Pelodiscus sinensis: one gene and its partner. The protein of the gene in region 2 binds, or shares a complex with, the protein of the main gene of each other region. Links are inferred from orthologs where the notes say so. Each region holds a gene or a part of one and is shown on either strand. Other genes may lie near its edges.

Region 1 (7,562 bases), on a different chromosome or scaffold from region 2:
AAAATGGAATCTGGATGATTTGGACATGTCACTCTGGGAAGCACATCCAAACTAAGAAAGAAAAAGACTTTTATGTTTAACGTGCACCACAAATCAACTGAGTAATTTACAAACAATATGCAAACTGTTTGGGTGGAGTAGTACATTAGGAGCACTACGTAGGATTTCCACACATAATTCAATAAGATAGGATTTCTTAAATCCAGTTTAAAATTCTTAAATAACTTGCCTCATAAAATCCACAAGGATTACTTTATTTAGTAAAGTGCTCCAAACATAACACACACACACACACACACTTATATATATATAGTAAATTATACCTGAAAATCCATTCTTACTAAATAAATGCCTACCAGAAATCAGTGATAACCATGTCTTTCTAAATAGTCACTCCTGCATTTGGCTAGCCATTTTTTAAAATCCAATTAAAATATTTCTTCGGTAAGCAGTGCATTCTTGACTGTTTTAGAAAACAACTATCTTCTAGCATCCCATGTTCACAAAGCTGACTGCGTATTTAAAAAAAGTGAACTGAATGTAGATGCACAAAGCAGATCTGAGGTCTGACTATCCTTTATCAGCAGCATGATGTACAGGGAAATGCTTCAATAAAATTAATGGCCATGATGTTTACTCAAAGCTTGGCATTTACTTTACTCCTGCTACAAGTTGTGATAACACTGGAAAATGTTTACTAACTCTAGAGCAGATACAGCAGAGGAAATAGTTTGACCCATCACAGTACCTTTAGTCCTGGTTTGAAAGCACTCTCTCCACCCATAATGAAGAAAGAAGATAGTTCAGGCATAGAGACCAATCAATCACTAACCTCTGCTGATAAATGTCTAAAAGGGAAAATTGTGGCAAGAACCCAAAGACTAATCAGATGTAGTTGTCAGTACTGCTAATCTGGCCAAATCAGGAGCCTACTGATACAGGGCATTCCTGCTATAAATTGCCCCGGTATACATTGGTTCCATACTAGCTTTTTTTTTTTTACTGACTGACTGACAGACACACATACACTTCCCTGCTTTACACCCTTTTACTATACACCCATGATGTTTAAAGGTATCTTGGACATATAGCGAGGACACCCTGTTCCACATGATCATGACAAGAAGGAAAATTGGGAATAATGGAATATTGCCTAACAATGAATGTAATGGGTGTGAAATGAAAGAGTTTTTAACATAAGAACAGTCATTCAGGGTCAGACTACTGGTCCATCTAGCCCAGTAACCGGTCTTCAAAACAGTGGCCAGTGCAAGGTGCTTCAGAGAGAATGAACAGAAAGGGCCATTAGCAAGTGTTCCATCCAGTTACTCAGGCCTAGCTTCTGGACAGCCAGAGCATAGGGTTATATTCCTGACTTTTTGGTTAATAGCCATTGATGGATCTAGCCTCCATTATCTATTTTTTTAACAGTTATACTTTTGGCCTTCACATCATCTGTTGGCAATGAGTTACATTAAGCATTGTGTGAAGAAATACTCTTTTTTACTAGGAAACATTTAGAAGAATCAGGATGTGCAACCAGACATGGCAATTCTTCCATCCACATTAAAATATGAAATTTGTGGAAAGGCCCGATTTAACCTTAACGATAGTTTTACACAGCAACACAGTAAGAACAAACTATCCATTTTCTAGGAGACATTGGTTTTAGACCAGAATGCATATTTATTTAAAAGATCAATTATGTAAATTAACATTTAAAGTGCTAGGAAGCAGAGATTTGCAAAATGGGAGTGGGGTGTGCACACAGGTGCAGGTGGTAGAGCAGAAGGGCTCCAGGAGGGAGCACCACTTGCACCCCACCTCAACTCTGAATGTCATTCAGCATGCAAGTCTATATCAACATCTCTGTGCCCACTGTTGACTCAGGCCCCCTGCAATGCTCACATACATATGCCATCCCCTTCTGAAAACCTGAGCATGGAGGAATAGGTATGGGAGTGGGGCACACAGCCAAAAATTGTAACTCAAGGGGGGGGGGGGAAGAGTACTCAAGTTAAAAGAGTTTGAAAGCCACTGCTTTAAAGTCTCCCATCTACCTACAGCAGCAGTTCTCCCACCTTAGGTCAGGACCCCAAAGTGGATCACAACCCCTTTTTAACAGTGTTAGACCTACTGGGCTTTGAGACCAAAGCTTGAGGCCAACCGACTAAGGCATCAGATTACAGGTCTCCCGAAGTCTCTGGGTTTCAGTTCCCCATGCCCTCCCCTCCCCCGAACGTAGGACTCGGGCTTTGGCCCTCCTGCCTGGCGTACAGGATTCACTGGCCAGGTGCAGGCGGGAGGTGAGGGCTGTAGGGGTAACCATCACCGCCCTAGACATCTCCGACTTCCTAGGCCAACCTTTGCAGGCTATTCGCAGCAGCCCACCGGCCACCCCGTCACTTGTGAGCTCCGAGGCCGGGTCACAAAACCCTCGGAAACGGAAGCTCAGGCGGAGCCCGGCGCCCCGATGACCACGGGCCGGAACCTGGGCCTGGCGCACAAACGCTCGTCGCTGCTTCAAGCAGGAGGCGGCGGCGGAGGGAAGGGGCCGCACACGGAGAACCCGGCTACGGAGCCCTTGGGAGCGGAGAGGGGCGCCACAGCGAGGAGATCAAAGCCCCCCCCCCCGGGAGCGGAGAAAGGGCCCGGGGAGAGCGAAGGGTCCGGGGGGGGGGGGAGGGATCGGGACTGACAGGCAGGAACCAGGACCCGAAATAGCAGCTGGGGGGGAGGGGGGGGGTTCAGCGTTGCTGACCCGGGAGCTGAATCTGCGGAGCGACGCGGCCATTTTCTCGCCCCGGCCGACAGCCCGGAATCCCGGCCAGAGACCCCCAGGGGCCCTAGGCCGCCCGCTCCCCTCACCGGCTGGTAGACGCCATGTTCGTTCCTTCCTTCCTTCCTTCCTTCCTTCCTCGTCCCTGTCTCCGTCCAGGTCTGGGTCAGGCGCACGCAGCCTACCCCCTTATATCTCCTCCGACACGGAAGGCGGGGCTCTGCCAGGCGGTCGCTACAGGCTGCGCAAAGGGACAAACCAGAAGGGTTCGCGTTCAGCTGCCTTAACGTAAGTGCCGGGAGACGGCAACAGCAGCGTGGGGAGCTGCGCGCCGGCGGGCGGGGCGTTACAGCGGCTCTGTGCCCGGCCTCTGGAGTCTGGGCCAGGTTCCTTTTCCATTCCCAGGGCGCGCCGCTGCCCCGCGGGGACCCTGCCCAGTGGGGGCTCGTGCTCAGCGTTGTAGCCCCGGTGACCAGCGGCCACAGCCTGTAGAATTGTGGGCGGCGCCCAGAACAGGGCCCGGCCCCTCCCCCACCTGCCTACGGCTCTGGGCGGGGCAGGAGGCTCTGGGCTGGGCTCTGGGAGGGACTGTGGGTGCAGGCTCTGGGCTGGGGCGGAGGTGCAGGAGGAGGGGAGGAATAATACAGGCTCTGGGGGGGAGTTTGGGGCAGGAGGGGCAATGCAGGGGAGGAGGCGGGGGTGCAGGCTCTAGGTGGCAGGTTGAGGTGGGAATGCAGCACTTACTGGGATACGCCCCTCTGGCATGGCTCCTGGGAGAGGGTGTGACAAGGTATCTCACATGCCTCTGCTCTCAGGCTCTGCCCCACAGCTCCCAATGGGCATAGGGGCATTGAGGCTAGGGTTGCCATGCAAAGACCACTGGGATGTGTCCGCCGCTAGGCAAGCGGTAGGAAGCTGTTCTAGCCCTGCGGTGCTGCCGGGGGTGGCAGACAAGGCCTCCAGGCCATTTTAAATTGTACAGGTGAGGTTGGGGGGGAAGACCCAGCCCCAAACTGCTGCAGCAGAGCTCCCAAGCCAGGAATGTTCCTGGTGCCCACTCAGCGTGGGTCCATATCACTTGACACCTCTGGCACTGGCCCTCTTGCTACTTTTCCCTTGAATAGACCTTTGCAGTATCCTGGGCACAATCTTCTCACACAAAGGAAGCTAACCCTTGTACTCAATGCCATCTGCTGCTATATTGCAGGATGCTGTAAGCCCATGGTCACCAACAGATCAATCGTGAGGCCTCAACCAGTTGATTGTGAGGTGTCCGGGCCCTCCCCCCATTTTCCTCCCACCCCCGAGAAGCCCCACTACCTACCTCCTGCAAAAATGGAGGTAGTGCCAGCTTCCCACGGGTGGACGGAAGTCCTGCAGCTTTGCGCCACTTCCGGGGGTTCCGGAAACACGCTGGCTGCTCTGCCAGGCGCGCTGCGGGAGGGGGTTGGGTTGGCCCTGGAAGAGGAGCACCACGACTTCCCTGCACCAGCGCAGGAGGGGTGAGTCTGCCCTGGGGCAAGTGCGCACAGGGTTTCCCTGGTCTGGGGGGGGGAGGTGTTTCGGCCCTGGGGCAGGTGCATGCAGGGTTTCGGTCCTGGAGCAGGCGTGCGCAGGGTTTCCCCAGCTGCAGAAACCTGTTCCCACTGGCTCTCTGTCCCCTGCTGCAGAACCCTGTCTTCTGCCCTCCCAGCACCCTGTTCCCTTTCCCCTGCCCCCAGCCACAGAACTCTGTTCCCACTGGCACCTTGTCCCCTGCCAAAGCACTAGCATCCTTCCCCAGTACTATGTCCCCTGTTCCTACCAACACAGTTGGGGCCACATTAATGAAGCTTGGAGGGGGGGGGGGGTTGCATCTCACTTGTGTGGCCCCAACTGACTTTTCTTGGGTCAGTGACCCCTGACTCAAAACAGGTTCCCTGCCCTTCTCAGAAATAAAGACAATGCAGAAACTTTTTGTTTGACATAGTATTTTATTTAAAAATGAAGCCTGGCCAACAAACCCCAAATTGGGGCCAAGCCCCCATCTGGCCACAGCATCATAACACTCCAGCACTCCCCTTTCCCCCAGACCCTACATATGAGCCTATCATACACTGGAACCCCCTGCCCTGAGCCCCTCACATACCCCAACCCAAATTCCTGAACCCTTACATCCAGAAGTCTGTGGCTTGCTTAGTACCCTAACCCTACATCTGACCCCAACACTGCCCGGCCTGGCACCCCCTCCCTGAGCCAGCATCCCCTTATCTACCTTCTCCTACATATAAATTTCCTCCCAGAGCTTGCACCTCTCACCCCTTCCCACACCCAAATCCCTCATTCCCACCCCAGAGCGTATACATCCTGTCTCAACCAAGCAAGGTTACAGCTAGACTGCGGGAGTTTTTCAGGATTCCGGAGATATCCCAGAAAAACACTTCTGCATCCAGGGATGCATTTGTTCTTCTGCTTCTTTTAGTGGAAGAGCAAACATGATCTTTCGGTCACCCCTATATTCCACTTTCCATGAGCAATAAGGGGGCTTCCAAAAGAAGGGGGTTTTCTGACATTTGGTCCAGACTAGACAGGCCAAATGTTGGAAAAACCTCTTTCTACAGAAAAATTGGGGGAAAAAAGCAGCAGTATAAGGGTTGAGGATAGCAAGTGACGGAGAGGAGGAGAACAGAGAGGGCGAGGCTTCAAGGAAGGGGCGGGGCAGTAGTTCTTGGCTTGTTCTGTCATTTAAAAAGTGATCTTGGGTGTAAAAAGGTTGGAGACCACTGCCATAAGCCTACCCGCATCAATCCTCACAGACATTGCTGCTGCTCCTGATATATGCCTGGAAGTTGCCAGTAGAGTGCAGCATACAAGATAATGCAGAGATCTGAGACCTAGTATAAAACACCAACACTGGTCGGTTGACTAAAGCCACGACAAAGTTTTCTTTACGTGCATATTTTTATCACCCTAACAAACAAAGGTTCAGTTACGGTAGATAAGGGTTGAGAACAACCTGCAAACTGGCTCCCACCGGTCAAGCATCTACCACCTGGTGCATATTATGAGGGAAGATTTTGACAGCCCAGCAAACTGCCTTGACTGCTGCCAGTACTGGAATATTATTATGCTTATTGACAAACAGGAGCTGGAAGGCCTTTGTAGCAGCCTTCACATAACTAAATAGATTGGGGTGGGCAAAAGAGAGAAGGTGACCTTGAGAAATAAGCATGATCCTTTCTTATTAAGCTCTCTTGAAAAATCTGAAGTCTCCGCCTTTAAAAAAAACGTTGTCTAGCTATACCTTGAAATTGTGTAGAAATACAGCTGTGGGACCAATGGCTTAAAATTGCTTGCTTAATGGTTTTTTGTTGATTGACACACTGATGTAATTGTAGCAGTTACTAACATAAAAATGGTAGATAAGTCTGAGGAATTTGGATTTGACCTGAACATCTATTGGAATCCCCAGCCACAGACATATAGCTGGCCACTTACACAGTGTGCATTGACTGCACAACACCCCTGCAGACTATGGGTAACTAATAATTAGGGATGCTCTATGCCTTTTGCATATCTGTATGTGCTTGAAATCTAATAAAATAGTAAGCTTGGGTAAAAGTATTGTGGGTTTCTGACAAGCTTTAATCAGATGGATGTGCTTTGATTTTTTTCTTCCTGACATTGCCTTCCAAAGACTATAATTAGCCCAAGCTTTGAGTTGAGAGAAACTCAGGTAATGCACATCAACCCTGAACTACATTGTGTTATATTAATAGATTGCACTGTAGTTGATTAAGTGAAGGTACATCACTGGCCCCTCTACTGGGGGCAGAGAGCTTCAAAATATGAAGGATCAATACAAACATAAGATTGGCTATACACATTCAAACCAATGGTCCATCAAGTCCAGTATCCTGTTTTTGGACAGTGGCCATTGCCACATGCCCCACAGGGAATGAAAACAACAGGAATCATCAGGTGATCCACCCCATTGCCTATCTACAGCTTCTGGAAAATAGGTCAGGGACACCATCCTTGCCCATCCTAGCTAATAGCCATTGATGGGCATACTCCATCTAGTTGTTTTTCAAACTTTGTTATAGTCTTGGCCTTTACAACATCCTTTGCAAAGAGTTTGACAGAGTGACTGTGTGTTGAGTTAAAAAAAACACTGTTTGTTTTAAAATCTTTGCCTATTAAATTCATTTGTTTAACCCCTAGTTCCTGTGTAATGAGGTGCAAATAATACTTCCTTATTTACTTTCCCCACATCGATCATGATTATATAGATCTCTATCATATTCTCCCTTTAATGTCTCTTTTCCAAACTCAAAAGTCCCAGCCTTATTAATCTCTCCTTGTATGGCAGGCATTCTAGACCCTAATAATTTTTGTTGCTTTTTCTGAATCTTTTCCACTTACGATATACCTTTGAGATGGGATGGCCACACCTGCATGCAGTATTCAAGATGTGGGTGTACCCTGGATTTATATAGGAGGAAATATATTTTCCATCTTATTATCTATAGCTTTCTTAATAATTCTGTTTACTTTTTTGATTGCTGCTGCACATTAAGTGGATGTTTCAGAGAACTAGCCATGATGACTCCAAGATTTCTTTCTTGAGTAGAAAGAGCTAATTTAGACCCCATCATTTTGTATGTATAGTTGAGATTATATTTTCAAATGTGCATTACTTTGCATTTATCAACATTGACTTTCATCTGCCATTTTGTTGCTCACTCACACAGTTTTGTGAGATCCCTTTGTAATTCTTCACAGTCTGCTTTGGACTTAACTA
Region 2 (8,250 bases):
CCCCTTCATGCAGCCAGGGGCGTGTGCTCTGGTTTCAGCCTCATTCACACAGCTACTGGCTGGAACACGAGCTCTGGCTTCCTGCTGGAGGGAGGGAGCGGTAGAGGCATGCACATGTCCCTGGGGCTGCCCCTGCTCAGCCTGTGCATGCAGCTTCCAGGAGCTAAGGGGTTAACCCTCACCTCTTCCTGGCTACAGCCTTCTTGCTTTGAGAGGGGGTAGGGCTGGGTGGCCAGTCACACATGGGGCACCAGGACCCAGTATGCTCCCCACCGGCTGTGTGCAGAGATGAGGAGCCCCTTCTCCAGAGCACTTCTACACCCAGCCAGGCTAGAGCCAGCCCTAGGCAGCACCAGGCTCTGCCTGCCCCAGCCTCAGACCTGCAGCCTGCAGGCAAAGAGCTGGTCCGGGCAGGGAAGAAATTCTACTCCCTCTGCCTCTCCTCACTCCAGCACGGCTATTCTGTCCCGCACCACCTCTCTTCACTCCAGCACTGCTACCCTACTTGAGTGCACTAAGGGCACAAGGATGTGGATGAAGAAGGGGGGTGAAGGAAGATCCAGGGGCAGGATGGGAGGGTGCAGAGATTGCACTGAGGGGCATGGGGCAAAGTAGGGGATCAGGCTGCAGGGAAAGAATGGGGGGCCAGAGGTTGCACAGGATACTGGACTTGATGGACCATTGGTCTGACCCAGTATAGCTGTTCTTACATTCTTAAGATATTACTGCAACTATTTTATGATGATTCAACAAAAATTAATTAGGGGTATGAAACATCTTCCATATGATGAAACTTTAATAAGACAGGGACTTTTCACTTGGAAAAGGGATGACTTAGGGTGATGTCTATAAAATAATAACTAGTACTGAGAAAATAGATAAGGAAGTGCTATTTACCCCATTTCATTACACAAGAACTATGGGTTACCAAATTAAATAGGCAGTAGGTTTTAAAACAAATAAAAGGAAATATTTCTTCACACAATTACGAATTTTTTGACAAAGGATGTTGTGAAGACCAAGACTATAACGGGTTCAAAAAAAGAACTAGATAAATTAATGGAGGATAAAGTCCATCAATGATTATTACCAAGACAAGCAAGTTTGGTGTCTCTAGAGCAGGAATGGGAAATAATTTTGATGGGGGGGGCCACTCCAAGAATTTGGAAAGTGGTCAAGGACTGCACTCTTCCATGACATTAATGGATGACGTGCAGAGTCTAGGATGGAGGTTGGGTGCAGAAGAGAGCTTGGAATAAGTGACTGGGGTGCAGGAGGAAGTGTGGGGTCTGGGAAGGAGTTTGGGTGAAAGAGGCGATGGTGACCTGGGGCTCTGGACTGGGGTTTGGATTTTAACCTAGGTCAGAAATGGGTTGTTACCTGGGATGCAAGGGTTTGGGATATTACCTAGGACAGGGGTTTTGGTTGTGACCTAGAATAGGAAGGGACTGTAATCTGAAGAAGGGGATTGGGGGAACATAGGAGGGTGGGCAAAGGGTTTGGGTATGTGGAATAGAGGGCAGGAGCGGGGGGCAAAGTGTTGGGGGAGAGGCTGGGGTGCCTGAGGCAGGCTCTGGTCAGGACACTTACTTAGGTGATTCCTGGCCAGCACTCCAGTGGATTTCTCAGGCAACCTGCCTGCCTGTCCTCCCCAGGCTGCAGGGCCGTGTGTGTGTAAATAACTACAAGCCAGAGGGGAGGGGGCATGGTGCTTCATGGCTGCCTTTTATTCAAACAGGCAACTCCCATTGGCTGGTTTCTGGGATTGTTCTGGGGATTTGGGAAACACCTGAAGGCCCTCCCCACTCCTCCCAGCTCAGAGTTTTGGGAGAGAAACGGCCTGGCAGCCACTTTTCTAAGCAGCGTGCAGGTGGGGCGAGGCAAATAGGGAGTCTGTCTAGGGTTTCTCTGGGCCGGATTTTGCCCAGGCCTGCCCTACCATCTGTTAACCAGAACTGGGAATGAGTAACATAGAATAGATCACTTGATGATTACCTGTTCTGTTCATTCCTTCTGGGGCACGTGGCACTGCTGGAAGACAGGATACTGGGCTAGATGAACTTTTGGTTTTACCCAATATGACCGGTCTTATGTTGTGTAGTATTATTCTAATTTTGTATTCAAAAAGTATTTCACAGTTTCTCTTCAACAAATGCACTGCAATTTGGATTGTCATTCATTTAAAACAGAACTGTTAAAAAATTACAGAAAAGTCTTCTGGAAAACTACATTGTGACTGATGCTGGTCAGGAAGCCTTACCTCTGATTGTCCTAGTGCTTTCTTCCCCCACCAGATAGGGTTGGTGTCAACGATGACGACTAAGAGATTTAGTTCATCATCTAAAAAAAGCAATAATAATGCATATGTTTGAGAACAGACAACACAGCAGCTCCTTTGGAAATATGGGAAACTTAACATTTAAAGGTCTATAGGCAAAAATACCAGATGTTTTAACACTCATTTAGCTAAGAGTGCATAAGGGTTTGCAGGATCTTGTTTTTATATTGGCCTGTTTTAAAATTAAATACACTTTTATTTAATAACATTTTAGTCACACACACAACAGCAAAAAAAAGTTAGCACACAGTCAAAGATTCAGCATAATTGCAGTTTTTCCATGTGTTTATTGCCAAATATCCATGAACCACATGGAACAGGAGTAGAACGCATTATGTTACAGTAATGAAGACTGTATTATTGGAAGCCGGATAGGAGGCAGAGGCACTACAGAAATGCATGGACCGGGAGCCTGACATAGGGCTTCTTTTCAGCGTTTATCGGTTTCTCTCTCAACCCCTCTGTTCACAGATCGCACGCAGGTGCCGTTTCCAAACCCAACGCCTGTGGGGCGTAGGCAGCGTGGCTGCCCCACACAAGGGAAAGGCGGTGCTGGCTGCGGAACTCAGCGGGGCTCGCGGGCAGCAGCTGCATCCGCCGGACGCAGCCCCGGGCACGGCCGGGAGGACGGGGCCGAGGGACCCCGCGGCGGAGAGAGGAGGCAGCAGAGAGGCCTCGCACCGGGCCCTGAGGAGAGCGCGCGGGAGACGCCAGCCCCGCTTCCGGCGCGGCGCCTGGCCAGGACTCACCTGCGCTCATAGTGCCCAGCCTCAGGCAGGCGAAGAGCGGGCACCGGCCGGACTTTCGCTTCCGGCGCCTCGAGACGATGTCACTGCTCATTGGTCGCACGACGCGTGATGCTGCAAGAGCCGGCCGGAAGTGGTGCCCCCGCGAGCAAGCGCCGGGCGGGGACAGCGGCTCCGCGTGAGCGGCGGGAACAGACTCGGCTCTTGCGGCTGCCGGGGGCCCGGGCCGCCTGCCGCTGACACCATGAACGACGCAGGTAAGGAGGCCCGGGGCCCGATCCGGGGTGGGGATTAACCGCCCCCTCGCCAGAGCCGCGGCGGACACGTGCCATCCCCCTCCCGGCCTGAGGCTGCGCCTGCCCCGCTCCCTGGACCGGAGGGACCAGACCTGCCCAGCCCCAGGTGGGGCTTCCCCGTGGCGGGCGGGTCCCTGCGGCTGATGGGCCCCGTTTCCCTTCCAGAGCTGATCGAGGCCTTCAAAGCCCAGATGCGGGAGGATCCTGACGTGGCCTCTGCCGTGGCGGCTATCCGCGCGCTGCTGGAGTTCCTAAAGCAAGACAAAGGTACCGGCCCAGCTGCTCTGCTGGGCGAGCGCGGGACTCCAACCCGGGGCCCTGCCCAGCAGCGACCGGGAGATGGTCACGTAAGATGCGCACTGAAGTGCTGAATCCGTCCAGTAGAGGCCAGTGCAATACACATCACTGACCACCTTGCACACAGCTGTCATAGGCTTGGACGGATTTTGTTTATAAACCTGTTTCACCCTACACATTAGGAATGCAATAGTGTATCCGATTAACTGATAAACAAAAGCTTATAGGTTAATGCTATAGACATGCATTTCCCTCCCCTCAGCCTTGCCAGTCAATTTTTTAGCAGCCCTGTCAGTAGTCCAGCTCAGTCCTGGCTTGCGGCAGGTCCGGGACCTACCCGTGCTGTAACTCAGCATTTAAAGCGTATTAGGAGCTGGGTGAGCAGGCAGCCTGGATCATTTTCATCTCGCACTGAGTCCGGGAGCTCAGACCCTCTTGACAGAGGCAGCTGCTGCCCCACACTGCTACCTGTTTATCAAAGGCAGCAGCACAGGGTAACAGCCAGCCAGTCCGCAAGGGAAGCTGGTTTTTAAACTGGCTTCCCTCATGGATGAGTTACTGCCTGGTACCCCACGCTGCTTCCTTTGATACAGAGGCAGCAATATGATGCCAGAGCACATTGGCTGCTGGCCCCACCCCCAAAGACTATATACTTGTTGACTAACCAGTAAGTCATGAGGTTACTCGACTAGTCAGTTAATCGATAGTTAACATCCCTGGTCCGCATATCAACCAACCAAAAAAGGTTTCCATTGATAATTATTAACCTTTAAAAAGAAAAATGCTGCCTGAGAACTTATTCAAGGACAAACTTAAAAAACAACAAATAGTATAGTAGCACCTTAAAGACTAACAAAACATGTAGATGGTATCATGAGCTTTTGTGGGCACAACCCACTTCTTCAGCTGAATGGAATATTAGAAGTCTGGATCCAAGCATAAATAAGGGCAGGGGAAGAAGGGGGGAAAAAAAGAGAGAGAGAGACAGTGAGTAAATATTTCAAGTGTTTACAAGAGGCTGATAAGAACAATTAGCACCTCCATTGTTTAAGTCATTAGGATGTGGAAGTTAGTATGCCAGCCAATGGATGTCCCATTTCATACTATTTGCATAAGAATTACACTTGTAAATGAAGTTAAATTCCAATTCTTCCCTGTGTATTTGGCTTGTGGAATTGGCCTGAAATAACACCGTGACTTAGAGATCCATTAATGAATGTCCAAGCAGATGAAAGTGTTCTCTAACAATTTTTTGTGTATTGCCTTTTTGAATATGTGATGTGTCCATTTTCCTGTAATGTGGAAACTGGCCAATATACACTGCAGTGGAGCATTGTTAGCATTTGATGGCAAAGATCACATTAGTGGATGTGCAGTTAAATGAGCCTCTTGGTGGCTGATGTGGTTGGGTCCAATTGATGAAATTGATAGTATAGATGTGTGGGCAGATTTGGCACCAGGGCTGATTGCAGGGGTGAGGTCCAGGATGATTATGATGGAGGTAAGTTGCATGCTTACTGGAAATAATTTGTTTAAGGTTAGGGGGTTGTCTGTAGGCAAGGATTGGCCTTTCCCCCAAAGCCTCTGAGAGTGAGGGGTCATTTTCCAGGATGGGTTGTAGATTGTTGATAATGCTTTGGAGAGGTTTAAGTTGTGGACTGTAGGTGATGACAAGAGGAATTCTCTTGTTTTCTCTTTTGGGCCTGTCTTGAGGTAGTTCGTGTCTGGGTATTCTTTTGGCTCTGTCAGTCTGTTTTTTTCAGAGCTACGGGTGGGTATTTCAGTTTTAAGAATGCTCTGTGTAGATCCTGTAGGCGTTTGTCTCTGTTTGTGGGACTGGAGCAAATCCACTTGTAACTTAGGGCTTGGCTGTCAACAATAAATTGAGAAATGTGTCTGGGATGGAAGCTAAAGGCATGAAGGTAAGTGTAGCGGTCAGTAGGTTTCCGGTATAGGGTGGTGGAAATTTGTCCATCATTTAATTGTACTGTAGTGTGAAGGAAGTAGATCCCTCATGTGGACTAATCCAGGCTAAGGTTGGTAGTGGGCTGGAAGTTGTTGAAATTCCTGTGAAATTCTTCAAAGATCTCTTTCCCATATGATGAAGATGTCATCAATATAGCGTAAGTGTACTAGGGGTGAGAGCTGAGGAAACGTTGGTTTAAGGTCAGTCATAAAGACCTTGGCATATTGCGGTGCCATGCAGGTGCCCATGGCTGTACCACTGACTTGAAGATACAGATTGTCTCCAAATGTGAAGTAGTTGTGGGTGAGGACAAACCTCTGTAACCAGGTGTGAAGTGCTGTCATCAGGGATTGTGCTCCTGACAGCCGGTAATCCATCTTCCTGTGGAATGTTGGTATAAAAAGCTTCTGCATCCATGGTGGCCAGGATGGTGTTTTCAAGAAGATTACTGTTTTATAGTTTCCTCTAAGTCAGTAGTGTCTCAAAGATAGGTCAGAGTGCTGGTAGCATAGGGTCTGAGGAGAGAGTCAATATAGCCGAACAATCCTGTTGTAAGTGTGCCAATGGTTGAGATGATGGTTCGTCTGGGATTTCCAGGTTTGTGTATCTTAGGTAGCAGATAGAAATCTCCTGGTCCCACACTACTTTCCACATCCTAATGACTTAACCAACCAACAAACAGTGGAGGTGCTAATTGTTCTTATCAGCCTCTTGTAACCACTTGAAACATCTACTCACAGTAGCTACTCTACACTGCAGGCTTCTTGTACAAGAAGCCTTTTGCGCAAGAGTTTTTGTGCAAAAACTACTTGTGCAAGAGCATGTCCACACCTCAAAGCACATCGCAAAAGTGATGTGCTTTTGCGCAAGAGAGCATCCACACCGTATGGACACTCTTGCACAAGAAAGCTCTGATGGCCATTCTGTGAGTGGCCATCAGGGCAGCTGTGCTTTTTCCCATAGGGGTTTCTTATGCAAGAGAGGTTTTCTCATAGGGCATCTACACTTGCCTTTTTGCGCAATAGCTGTAGCGCAGCAAGGAGTTATGCCTCATAAAAGGAGGTTTACCTACACCAGAGAAGGCCCTCTCTCCTGCTGTTTTATTGTTGATTTACTTGCGCAAAAGCGCATTTGGGGTGTGGACGCCCCATGGGTTTTTGCACAAACAGCTGTTTTGTGCAAAAACCTTGCAGTGTAGACATAGCCTGTCTCTCTTTTTTTTTTTCTTCGCCCCTCCTTTTCTCCTCTCCCCCCTCCTTATTTATTCTTGGAGCTGGACTTCTAATACTCCAGTCATCTGAAGAACTGGGTGGCGCCCACAAAAGCTCATAATACCATCTGCATGTTTTCTTAATCTTTGAAGTGCTTCTAGACTATTTATTGCTTTTAAAGTTTTTCCTGCTACAGACCAACTCAGCTACCACTCTGAAGTTATTTGAAAACATCATTCAATCATTGTCTGACACCCCTGTAATTTCCTGCAACTGAAAACTAAGTTGATAAAAACTGAAAAAGATGCTAAAACTACAAAATATTTGCAGAACTGTGAGCTGCAAATTAAAATAAACCCTAATTAAAATTTTTTTTAATTAGATTCTGCCAAACCTAAATTTGAGACACATCTAATCAAATTCATGGTGTTTCAGATAACTGAAATTCAGAGCTTTGTGGTACTTCAGGTGATTATTTGTTGCTTTTTCAAGAAACAAACAACTGCAGTTCATCTCTGCTTCCAAGATCTTGCCTTTTCTTTTTTACACCAACAAAAATACCCCTGCTCCTGCATTGCAGTAAAAGGCAATCCCTGTGTTTTGAACTACACTGTTTTTTAAAATTCAGAAGAGAGTTAAAGATGAAGGTCTTGGAGCAAAAAAGCAGGCTACACCTTCATCAAAAGTTTGAAGTAAGAAACTTGCCTGGTAGATAATGTGCAGAAATGAGCACATGCTATGAGAAGTGTGCATTAATAATCAAAATCTGGAAAACAGTATTAATACAAGAAAGGTTTTCAAATGTATGCGGTGTTTGTTTCATTAAGTATAATCTGCTTCATTGGATGTGTGTTCGTCTACTCAGAGTGGCTAATCATGGCTGCTGAATTACCTGAATAATGTCAATAACTTGTCCTTCAAGTTACAATCAAAGCACATCAATGAACGGATGGGAGAAGTCAACACTACTTGTTAACTGTGTAGTAGTATTTAATCAATTTTAGTTCCTGGCAGTGATATATGTTTCAGGTGTACTTATATTTTTTTTAAGATTACTGTTATTCTAGAGAAAGTTGGATGGAGGGCAGAATGCAGGTAGAGCTTACTAGACTATAGATTTTATCCAAACTTATGGAATCGGTTGTAGAATTGTTCCATGGTATAATAAACTTCCACTATAATCCTAATACATCGAAGGAAAAATACCAAGTGAGTCCCCCATTAGTGCTATACCAGAATATATCTAAACTTCTGTCTAGCATGTAATGAGTATCTTGTTTTAAAATGAAGTTTGCATTTCTCTCTCTCTCTCTCTCTCAGGTGAGACCATTCAGGGTTTGAGAGTAAATCTCAAAAATGCAATTGAAACTCTGTCTGGTGTTGACTCTTCAGTGGC

Evidence for each region. Proteins that work in one complex are often made in the same cells at the same time.
Region 1: GTF2H3 (region 2) and GTF2B share a complex: the UniProt entries of both Homo sapiens proteins name them as parts of the TFIID-containing RNA polymerase II pre-initiation complex. The link is inferred for Pelodiscus sinensis from reciprocal best matches to the Homo sapiens genes GTF2H3 and GTF2B.

What each region holds. Positions count from the first base shown.
Region 1 is NC_134719.1:32,367,447-32,375,008, forward strand, and holds the start of GTF2B (transcription initiation factor IIB), read right to left. Parts: upstream 3,007-7,562; 5' UTR 2,886-3,006; coding exon 2,869-2,885; intron 52-2,868; coding exon 1-51. UniProt on the Homo sapiens protein: General transcription factor that plays a role in transcription initiation by RNA polymerase II (Pol II). Involved in the pre-initiation complex (PIC) formation and Pol II recruitment at promoter DNA.
Region 2 is NC_134725.1:31,220,674-31,228,923, forward strand, and holds the start of GTF2H3 (general transcription factor IIH subunit 3), read right to left. Parts: upstream 3,218-8,250; 5' UTR 3,179-3,217; coding exon 3,088-3,178; intron 2,341-3,087; coding exon 2,261-2,340; intron 1-2,260. Other genes in the region: EIF2B1 (translation initiation factor eIF2B subunit alpha), read left to right, coding at 3,329-3,341, 3,546-3,647, 8,175-8,250. UniProt on the Homo sapiens protein: Component of the general transcription and DNA repair factor IIH (TFIIH) core complex, which is involved in general and transcription-coupled nucleotide excision repair (NER) of damaged DNA and, when complexed to CAK, in RNA transcription by RNA polymerase II.